2 linked regions of the Macaca fascicularis genome follow. Each later gene encodes a partner of the first gene's protein in a complex. Links are inferred from orthologs where the notes say so. Each region holds a gene or a part of one and is shown on either strand. Other genes may lie near its edges.

The links. Proteins that work in one complex are often made in the same cells at the same time.
Region 2: the proteins of GPR161 (region 1) and GNAL are in contact, whole or in part, in a cryo-EM structure (PDB 8KH4), measured with the Homo sapiens proteins. The link is inferred for Macaca fascicularis from reciprocal best matches to the Homo sapiens genes GPR161 and GNAL. Residues at the interface, in NP_001254539.1 of Homo sapiens: Arg125, Ala128, Val129, Leu130, Pro132, Met133, Tyr135, Pro136, Met137, Ile139, Ile211, Val214, Ala215, Lys218, Ala219, Lys267, Ala268, Thr271, Trp327, Asn328, Lys329, Arg332; in NP_001135811.1 of Homo sapiens: Ala41, His43, Lys203, Val204, Phe206, Phe363, Cys366, Arg367, Asp368, Ile370, Gln371, Arg372, His374, Leu375, Gln377, Tyr378, Glu379, Leu380, Leu381.

The regions. Positions count from the first base shown.
Region 1 is NC_088375.1:25,801,310-25,806,584, forward strand, and holds the start of GPR161 (G-protein coupled receptor 161), read right to left. Parts: upstream 3,142-5,275; 5' UTR 2,852-3,141; coding exon of another isoform or gene 2,845-2,851; exon of another isoform or gene 2,620-2,844; intron 2,296-2,619; exon of another isoform or gene 1,845-2,295; coding exon of another isoform or gene 1,705-1,844; intron 1-1,704. UniProt on the Homo sapiens protein: Key negative regulator of Shh signaling, which promotes the processing of GLI3 into GLI3R during neural tube development.
Region 2 is NC_088392.1:79,223,041-79,228,341, reverse strand, and holds the start of GNAL (guanine nucleotide-binding protein G(olf) subunit alpha), read left to right. Parts: upstream 1-1,645; 5' UTR 1,646-1,952; coding exon 1,953-2,304; intron 2,305-5,301. UniProt on the Homo sapiens protein: Guanine nucleotide-binding protein (G protein) involved as transducer in olfactory signal transduction controlled by G protein-coupled receptors (GPCRs).

The DNA.
Region 1 (5,275 bases):
GTCAGAGCTTCCAAAGGTCTCACACAGAAGACGCAAAAGGGCAGTCTGCAGGTCACAAGCAGCCTGCACACATAATTTGGTTAAACTGCATGCACATTTAAAAAAATGTTTTGAATCAGTTGCTATCTTTAAAAACATATGAAGCTTTTTTTCCGTAAAAATTTACAGCTTCCCCCAAAACTAAGATCAGGCAACCATGTGATGGAGCCCTACCGCACCTGCAGCTGCCCCCTTACTGGAGACAGGCTTAGCAGCACACAGCTCCCACTCAGCCCTCCTGTCCACCAGCCTCCTGCACTCAGGCTTCCTGACTGGTCCCGACTGGCAGTGGCGTTTACACCACAGAACTGTACCTCCTCTTGCTGACATTTAGGTCAGCTCCAGTTCAGCCCATTCTGTCTTCCTCGGAACCCAAACAGAGAGCTCACAGCCCTCTGACCACACAGTGCTCCTTCACCTCTCAGAGGACTCCCAGTGCACCAGACTGCAACACAAAGAGAACGGTTTGGATATCGTTGCGGCCTTGGATTTAGTTCCAAAATGTCAAGCAGGCCTCTTAATGAGGGGTCTCTATTCTTGATGTTATGGTGGTGGAGCTACAGGGCAGGGAGAAGCCCTGAGTTAAAGGACCCACCTGTGTGCCATCAGGAAACCACGTGAAAAGCATTACCAAGGCAAAAGATCTGAGTTCAATCTGGGCTGCTTACTTAGCTGGGCAAGAATGCTTCATCTCTCCTGAGCCTCAGTTTCCTCACCTATCAAATGGGCTAGCAGAGCTTCACAAGGCTGTTGTGTGAAGGAAGAAGTGTATATGAAAGTGCTTGTAAGCACCTGACAAGTATAAAATAAGACAGGTGTGGAGGAGGACCGGGAGAGGTGCTCTGGAAGAAGTAACAGAAATGGGTGCCATGGATTCCAGTTACAGTTGAAGAGCCTCTTTCTCTGTGACCTGAGGTCCCTCCCACCTCCTCCTTCTGCCCTGAGGGCCTGAAAAATGCCTCTCTTCACTTGCTCCCAGTAGCTGCAGTAAAATAGATTACAAGGGAAAACCGCCTATTCCCCCGAAGCAGTAGCTCTCCAGAACTCATCTGGAGGTCCAGGTCACTAGGGGAGAAGAGGCCGGGCTGAATCCACGCCTGGCTCCACGGAGGAGCCACAACGATGGCCATCCTCCCCCAGCCCCTAGCACGCTGAGACAGGCTCACCTGAGGTTATCAGTGTCTCCACTGGACAATCAAGGAACTGAGGTTCTTTCCCTCCAAAACCACACACCTCCTCACGGCTTCACAGGGAGGAGGATCAAATGACCTGCTCTTGAAAGCACTTTGCAAAAGGGATGAAAGGTACAATAACGAGCAAAAATAGCCTCCAAGATGTGATATAAAGCGATGCCAATGCGCAGCTGTGTGGTTACTGGTAAGCAGACCTCCGGGAAACACAGGAGACACCCCACTTATCCCACAGACGTTCTCATCCCATATGCCTTTGTCCAAAGGTTGCACGGGGGTTAAGCTTGGCCCAGAGGGCGCCGAGGGCTGGTCAAGTCCTCCCCTTTCCAAGAACCAGCCGAATCTCCCTCCCGCAGATCTGAGAGGCAGAGCCGCCCACCCCGCGGCGCCGGGCCACTTCTGGGCGCGCCATCCGCCGTCCGCCCAGGCTCGGGGAGACAGCGCCCTGAGTCCCGGCTGGGAGAAGGTTGCTCACCTGGTCCTCACGGATTCCAGCCGAGGGGCGTGACCGCCTCTCCCCACACCCTCTGCCCTGAGCGGGTCGTGAAGTCTCTTGGCCCCAGGGGGCGCGGCCCGCATCGGCCGAGTCCAGGGCACGCACCTACGCCCTCCCATCCAGCGGACTGGGTAGGGGGCCTCGGGCGGCGCCGGAGAAACGGGGGCGGGCTGCACCCAGTAGAATGGGGTGGGCCTCTCAGAAGCCCCAGGCCGCAGGCGAGGGGCGCGCCCCCAACATCTTCCCACAAAGAGCTCCAGCTCTCCAAAGCAAGGCGCAGTGCGGCCAGAGGACAGCCCCAACCCCTGAGAGGGGCGCGAGGAGAAGGGGAGCGCCGTGGGGGCGGGGACCCTTCCCGGCCCGCAACCTGAGCCCTCAACCCCGCACAATGAGTTTAGCCCGGCTCCATCCCGACCTCCCTCTCCGCCCGGGCCCGGGCCCGCGACCGCGTCCCACGCCGAGTGCTCACCGAGGAGCCGCTGCCGCGGCAGCTCAGGCCCCGGCCCAGCCGCCTCCCCGCCTCGGCCACCGCCGCCGCCGCTTCCTTCCTCCCCGCCGCGCTCCGGGACTGGAGGTTTCGGGTTTCAGCCCGCCGAGCCCCGCTTCGCTCCTCCCGCGGGCCAGCCACCAGCACGCGGACCCGGGCGAACGCAGGCCAAGTAACTTTGCGGCGCCCGCGCCCCGCCTTCCCCACGCCCGGCCGGGCCCCTCCGGCCCCCAAAGCCCCGAGTCGCCTCCCCGCGCCCCGCACCGCCCCGCCCCGCGCGGCTCCCGGCGCCCCTCCCCACCCGCGCCCCTTCCTTCGCGTCCGTCAGCTCGCCCGCCCTCCCGGCTGCTGCTTTCCCATTTCTTCCCACGAACAGCCTCGGCTGCTGCTCTTTGTCTCGCCCTTACCCTCTCGGCTCGCTGCACTTTTCTCCTGAAAACCTTTGTGGTCCCTAACTTAGGCCTTCCCTGTTCCCGTTCCTGCGTCCCAGTTCCAGCCGCTGGGACGTCCCCTTTTCCATGTCTCTCTGCATCACACAGACACTTTCAGATTCTTCCCGCAGGCTCCGCACAGTCCCATTCTCCTCCTCCAGTCCCGCCGTGGAAGATCCTGGTATCGCCTTTGCTGCTCACCTTTCATTCATCCAGCCGACGGGCACGAGCATCCATCTGCGTCCTGCCAGGCTCTGTCCCGGGCTCTGTGAATACCACAGTGAATCCGCCCCGGGGAGTGGGGAGTGGACGTAAACAGGTCTTCACACTGCTGCCCTGCACTCCCTCGGAGCCAAAAGGCCAGGGAGCAGTCATCACAAAACAAAGAGCGGGCGCTGTCAGCTCGGGGGACGGAACAGTTCCTTCTCAGAATGTTTGTTTTGTCTTCCTCACTCCCCACTTTCCCTGCCTGTCTCCAGCCTCCTACGTTTTCTATGCAGCAGTCTTAATAAGGGGATGGAAAGTTGAAGCACAGAGTAGAACTGCTAAAAAAGGAAAGAAGGAAGGACAAACAGGGCAACAAAATAATCAGGTAAGAAGTTATAAAGCCCAGTTCACTAAACTTCAGCAAAAGAAAAAAAAAGACAAAAAAACCCTGGTGCTGTGCTTACAGCAGGATTCACATTCCTCTGAAATCCATCTGCTTTGATAAATACATTAATTATTCCCTTGTCTACAGATTGACACTGTGGGAGATGCTTCCTTATTATTAATATTATTGGGCCACTGAGGCACCATTTAGAACAGTAATTTACTGTCTGGCACCTACCAAACACCCACATTGCTCCGGGGACAAATGGGATAATGGGGAGAAAAAAGTAAATGGATGCCTTAATATTCCTATGGGATAAATGCTTTATTTGGTCAAAAACTGGAAACTGACACTCCACTTAGAGTCTAGGTCACCCGGCAAGCCAGACCCTTGAAGGAGCTTAAAGCTTTCTGTTCTTAAGAGTATTTTAGACACTTATTTTGAACTCCCTGTTATTTATTTAATTTACACTGGCTCAGCTGTCGGCTAAGCTCTATGAGCCTGAGGGAGTGAGTTAACCTTCCTGAGTCTCAGCTTATTCATACACAAAATGGGGATACTCATACCTTCCTATCTGTAGAGTTGAAAAGGTCAAATGAGGTCATGTAACTAAATCACCAGTGTCATAAATTCGGAGAACTAAACCCTTTTGAAAATTGGTATTCACGAAAGGTCTGAAAATATATGCCATGGACTGGCATGGCAAGAATGAGAGTAAAAAATAAACAGTTACGGCTGTTTTGGCTCCATACCCATTCATGATGCAAAAGATGTCCTTCATACTGAACAACCTTTTCCCATACTTACTCTATTTCATTTTGAACTGTTCAACAGAAGACATTTTTTTTTCTCCTGCTGCTCATTATCAAATACATTATTTATCACAAAGATTTTTCTTTTTTCTGAGCTCATAAGCTCAGAACTTACTGTGCATTCAGGGATAGAAATTGCTGCCAACAAATGCATTTTCAATTGCTGTCTTAAGATTTTTTTTTCCCTTCTGGAGTTAATATTGAGCTATGAGTGAATTCAGTCAGATGCAGAGAAAACAAACAAATTGTTATTAAAGTAATTATTTCACTGTTTATCATTGTATAGGTGATAATTGTGAAAAACGTGACTGCTTTTGTGCAAGAATGTATTTTTTTTTTCAGAAAAAGAGAAAGATACACACTAATTCTCCTTTCCCAAATTAGTTTAATAAACCATTCTGTTTTAGAGACATCCACAAAGACTTATAAACTAAAATGAGAGGCCATGTCCAACTGAACCTCACATGTGTGTTGAATAATTTATATATGAAACATGTTTTATGTAAAATATCATTTCAGTCTAGCAGTCCACATAAAACTGGTGAAAGCAAAATTGTGAAGTATGCTATTTGTTCCACGTGGGATGTTATTTCCCCCACTCTTTACAGGCCAAGCCCTTCCTGCCCTTCACATCTCAGCTTAAATGTCACCTCCTCAGAGAAGTCTTCCCTGACCAATCTCTCCTTTTTTTGATTAGAGATGGGATCTTGCTATGTTGCCCAGGCTTGTCTTTAACTCCTGGGCTCAAGCTATCCTTTCACCTTGGCCTCCCAAAGTGCTGGGATTATAGATGTGAGCCACTGCACTCAGCCCCTGACCAATCTAAAAGAAATTCTCTGATCTCTGCTCTCTCTCTCATAGCTGTCTTCTTTTTCTACATACAATGTGTCCAAATTTATAAAATACGTATCAATTTTTCTATTTATTTGTTTACAGTACACCTCCGCTGATAGAATGGTAAAACCATTTGACCTCAGAGGAAGACTTCCCCGAAACTGGTGCGCCACTGGACTGATCAGAAACAAGAGCCAATCTATATATATATATTTTTTTTATTAAATCAGTATGGGTTTATTTCTCTGTTAGTTGGAACAGAAAGCATCTAACTCAGTGGTTCTTAATATGACATTTTGGAAGGTATTTTGGGTTTGTCACAATGATTAGAGGACACCCCAGGCATTTATTGGGTGGGGCCCAGGATATCAGACATCTTGCAGTACATGAAATA
Region 2 (5,301 bases), on another chromosome or scaffold:
GCGCAATTTACAATTAACATATTTACCTGTGTTTTTATGACTGAGTATATTTCTATCTCACTAGTCTACAAACTCCATGAGGACCCATGTCTGCCTCACCCAGCACCAACAAGGATGCCTAGCATACTGCAGGCACTTAATTAAATGGACAAATGGACAGATGGATGAGTGAATGAATAGTGAAAATGACAATGATATTTAGTAACTTTTTCTATTTTCCCAAGTTAGATTTTCTATAATCCTTTCTTTTGCTCAAATATCTGAAAGTATGCCATAATTTTAGCAAAATTTGGGGAACAATGTTAGGTCAAAAGCAGTACATGTATGCACATTTGTTATTAGCAGGACCCCCAAAAGAAATGTGAATGCCGGATCTCCAACTTCTTGATTTAAAAATGTAATCCAGGCCCCGCGCGGTGGCTCACGCTTGTAATCCCAGCACTTTGGGAGGCGAGGTGGGTGGATCCCTTGAGGTCAGGAGTTCGAGACCAGCCTGGCCAACATGGTGAAATCGTCTCTACTAAAAATGCCTAGAAAAAAAAAAAAAAAAAAAAAGAAAGAAAGAAAATGAAAAATTAGCTGGCAGTGGTGGTGGGCGCCTGTAGTCCCAGTTACTTAGGAGGCTGAGGCAGTAGAACCACTGGAACCCGGGAGGTGGAGGTTGCAGTGAGCCGTGATCGCACCACTGCACTCCAGCCTGGGCGACAGAGCCAGATTGTCTCAAAAAGAAAAAATGTAATCCAATGTAGTATTTACATCTAGTGCCAACGGGTGCAGTGCACACTGCGCTGCATGCTACGTTTCATTAAACAGCCTAATCTGGTGTGTTAATAAGAGATGTATTTAACTATCAGTTATAATATTACATGTCATTTTCCCGGAAATCAAGGAACACATCTTACAGCAGGTTATTCACAAGCTATATTAAAATGTTCACCTGTTGCAGAAGCTCTACAAGATGCTGTGCATGCAGTGGGAAATAACCGGAGACATGGGACCTCTGGCGGGCTTGTTTCTCAGCGTCATGGAGAGAGCGCACCCAGTCTGAAGGCGCATCTGCTCCTCTCTGCGCTATATTGTGGATTAAGAAAATACAGTGTACAATCTCATATTCTCATTTCAGCAAATATAAATAGTACATGGCAATTATATGTGCTCGGTTTTCATTTTTAAGGGTGGAAATTGTTGAAAATGGTGTCGTGGACCAGACTCCAGAATTGGAGATTTTGTAGAGGTCAAAGGTATAGTAGTATTAAAGTAGGGATAGAGTGTGCGGGTATGTGTGTAAGATAATGAGCAGAAAAGGGAGTGGCAAGGTGCAGAGATCTCTGCAAGCAATGGATTGGGGAAACTGAAGGCTTTAAAGCCACGGTCGCTATCCCTGCACCCAGCTTTCCGTCCTCAGTTACTATGACCCAAGATCAAAGCCACCCTGGTTTTCTAATTGCCGCAACTGCGGCTCCAGGTGCTGACTGCACAGCCACTGCGGTACTGTCCGCAGCTGCGCGCCGGGCTCAGTCGGCATTATTTACGGTACAGAATACTCGCCCGCGCGGCGGTATTTACGGTAACGAAAGCCAGCTGTATTTACGGTAGCGAGGGCTGGACCGGCGGCGGCATTTACGGTAACGGGGCCGGGCTCGCTGAGGCCCGTCGGCTTGGCCAGCTCTGGGCGTTATCAAGTGATCTCCAGCCAAGGCGGCCGCCACCCCCTGCACCCAGCGGAAAATGCAAAATGGCCCTCTGGGGCAGTGAGGGGCCGTGGCCCTCGGCCCGGGCCTGCCGCACCCCCTTCCCGCAGCTGGCGGCCGGCAGCGCTGAACAGGGTCCGGGTGTAGCCCCCTCTCGCCCCTCCGCAGGGGCGCCGGCCTGAACTGGGCGCGGGAACCAGGCCGCCCTCGGCGCCCAGCCCGCCCTAGTCCCGCGCGCCGCCCCCGCCGTGCCGCGCCCACATGGGTCTGTGCTACAGTCTGCGGCCGCTGCTTTTCGGGGGCCCAGGGGACGACCCCTGCGCGGCCTCGGAGCCCCCGGTGCAGGACACGCAGCCCGCCCCGGCCCCGGCCCCAGTCCGGGCGGCCGCAAGGGACACGGCTCGGACCTCGCTCCCTCGGGGCGGCGGCGGGAGCCCGGCATGCGCTCGGCCCAAAGCAGACAAGCCGAAGGAGAAGCGGCAGCGCACCGAGCAGCTGAGCGCCGAGGAGCGCGAGGCGGCCAAGGAGGCGAGGAAAGTGAGCCGGGGCATCGACCGCATGCTGCGCGAGCAGAAGCGCGACCTGCAGCAGACGCACCGGCTCCTGCTGCTCGGTAGGTCCCGGTCGCGCGGTCGGCTCACGCCCGGGGGACAGCGCGCCGGGCCCGCGGGGTTGGTGGGCGCCGGGGAGCGGCGGCCGGAGGGGCTCCTGAATCCCGGGACTGGACCCGGACGGGCGGCGGGCGCGGACCGGCTGCGGAGCGTTTAAACTGGGGGGGGAATGGCTCCCCTGACCTGGCCGGGAGGACGCTACGGGCCGGTTCTGCCGCTCCCAGTGCCTTGAGCTTTTCCTGCCGCTCGCTCGCTCGCTCGCTCGCTCTCATTAACGAGCCTCTCTGGGAAGTCTCGCCCTCGACTGAGCGCCTTCCGCAGGGTCTGATCCCCGGGGATCTCTACCCTGGCCTCTCACTTCCTGCTGCACGCGGAGGCTGGCGGTCTGGTTTCAGAACACAGATGAAAGGAGATGGATAAGGCCTTTTAGCTTGACCGCAAAGCTTTTATTCCAAGCACAGTGTTGTGGGTGGGTGTGGCCTGCTACCTTTTGAGAAAGAACTTGAGCTGCACTTGGGTTTTACTGTGGAGGCAGATCAACCCCGGCTCTGGGAAGTTTGCTCCGCTGGAGAACCAGCGGCACGAGGGGGTGGCGGCCCCGGCGTGCTCTCTGTGTAACCGCGTGCAGGAGGGCGGGCGCCGAATCCCGGCGTTTTCAAGGAACCAGATGCTTGCTCTCCTAGTAGTATTTTTCAGAGCTTACCTATAGCAAGTACGTGTGCTCCTACAACAATCAGAAAACATGGTTCTATGCACTCTACCGTAGAATGAAAAAAAAAAAAATCACGATTTCCTGATACTACTTGTTGCCTTTTAAATTTTAAGACGAAATAATAATAATTGGGCTTTTGATGGCAATTTTGTGAGATGTAAGGAAGAATAGTCGTTCAGGTCTATGGTCTCTGCTATACATGGAAGAGAAGGTATTCCATTATTTTAGCAAGATGCCTGCATATAAATGAATGCAACTTTCATTTAAGATCTAGAAGACAATAAATACTGAGTTTGAGAGGACTTGTCCACTGCACTGCAAGAATTAATAATTTAAAACAACATAAACCTAGCTGTTGTATTCTGGTGAATGAAATATCTAATTTTTAAAGCAAAGGGAAATGTTTTTGAAGAAACAACAAAAACCAGTAAATACGCAGGTTATCTCAAACAGCGACGTGGGCTGAGCAGTAGCAGAGCTGCCCCCTCCAGTGCTCACCTGCAGAATATCGCAGAGCACACGTTTCCAGAGGTCTGAGGATACAGAAGTGTAACTTTAGAATTTCATACCTTGTTAAACCGTTGTTGGTGTGTGAGGGTAAAATAAATCTTTGGATATGCAAGTATTCAAAGTATACTCTCATCCACATATATTTCTGGAAGGAAACTTAAAAAAAAATAGAGACAGCGGCAGCTCATGCCTGTATCCCAGCACTTTAAGAGGCTGAGGCTGGCGGATCACTTGATCTCGGGAGTTGAAGACCAGCCTGGGTAACATGCTAAAACCCCGTCTCTACAAAAAATACAAAAATTAGCTGGGTGGTGCGCTGGAGACCCTGTCTCCAAAATAAATAAATGAATGAATAAAAATAAATAAATAAATTGAGACAAGTCTCACTATGTTGGCCAGGCTGATCTCAAACTCCTGGTCTCAAGTGATCCACCCACGTCAGCATCCTAAAGTGCTGAGATTACAGGCATGAGCCACCGTGCTCGGCCTGGAAAGACGTTAATTGGAAATTACTTCAGCCAAAATTTTTTAAATGCATTAAATTAAAATAATTCAAAAAGGGGAGAATTTTTTTAAAGGGGAGAGAGAATCATCATCTCAAGAAACTAACAAAAAACAAGAAGACAAATAGGATCAGGAGTTGTGACAACCCAACGTTGTTTTGATGTGATTATACAGTTGAACATAGTTTAAAAATAATAAAATGATATGGGAAGCAGAAAATGCTTTCTATATAATAAAAATTATTAGACTATGAATCTGTGAAAAACATGGGATGAGATATGGTCTGAAGAATAGAACGGTGAGCTCTAAAGAGTCAGCTTCTTGTAACACATTTGAAAGTACGCTTTGAAGACATCATCTCATAGCCTCATAGAGTTTATATATCAGCATCATAGCTAAAGTGACATAAAATCAAATAACTCACTTTTCAGGGGGAGTGTATTGTATCCTCCACCAATGATATCTACACTAAAACACATACTGTTACATGGGGTTGACGTTGTTTATCCGATTTTATATAGATTTGAGTTAAACACACAAAGGTTCTTGATTTTATTAGGCTTTAAAATGGATTTAGCTGGAAAATTTTGAGTCAGAAACATGACTTATTGACCATTAATATCCTCGGATAATTGCTTCTGCTGCCATTGTGTATAACAGCCATTTATTCTTGCTCACTGACCGCATTCATTTGTTTATTCTGGAAATGTGCACCGAAAGCTGGGCATTGGGTTCAGAGACCTCAGACCCAGGGAAGGTGCACTCACTCCAGCAGTGTCCTATTTTATTTTTTTATTTTTTATTTTTTTTTAATCCCAGCACTTTAGGATGCTGAGGTGGGCAGATCACTTGAGGCGAGGAGTTCAAGACCAGCCTGGGCGACATAGTGAGACTATGTCTCTATTTTTTTTTTTTTTTTTTTGAGACAGTATCTCACTTTGTCACCCACTCAGGAGTGCAGTGGTGTGACCATGGCTCACTGTAGCCTGGACCGCCCCAGCTCAAGCAATCCTCCTGCCTCAGCCCCACAAACAGCTGGGACTACAGGTACACGCTACCACGGCTGACTAACTTTTGTATTTTATGTAGAGATGGGGTTTTACCATGTTACCCAGGATGGTCTTGGACTCCTGAGGTCCAGTGATCCACCCATCTTGGCCCACAGTGCTGGGATTACAGGTGTGAGCCATTGTGTCCAGTCAGGTGCCCTTTGTCACTCCATGCCTGCTAGTTTGAGGTGAGTCCCGTCTCCCATCATGATGAGTCCTCGAGG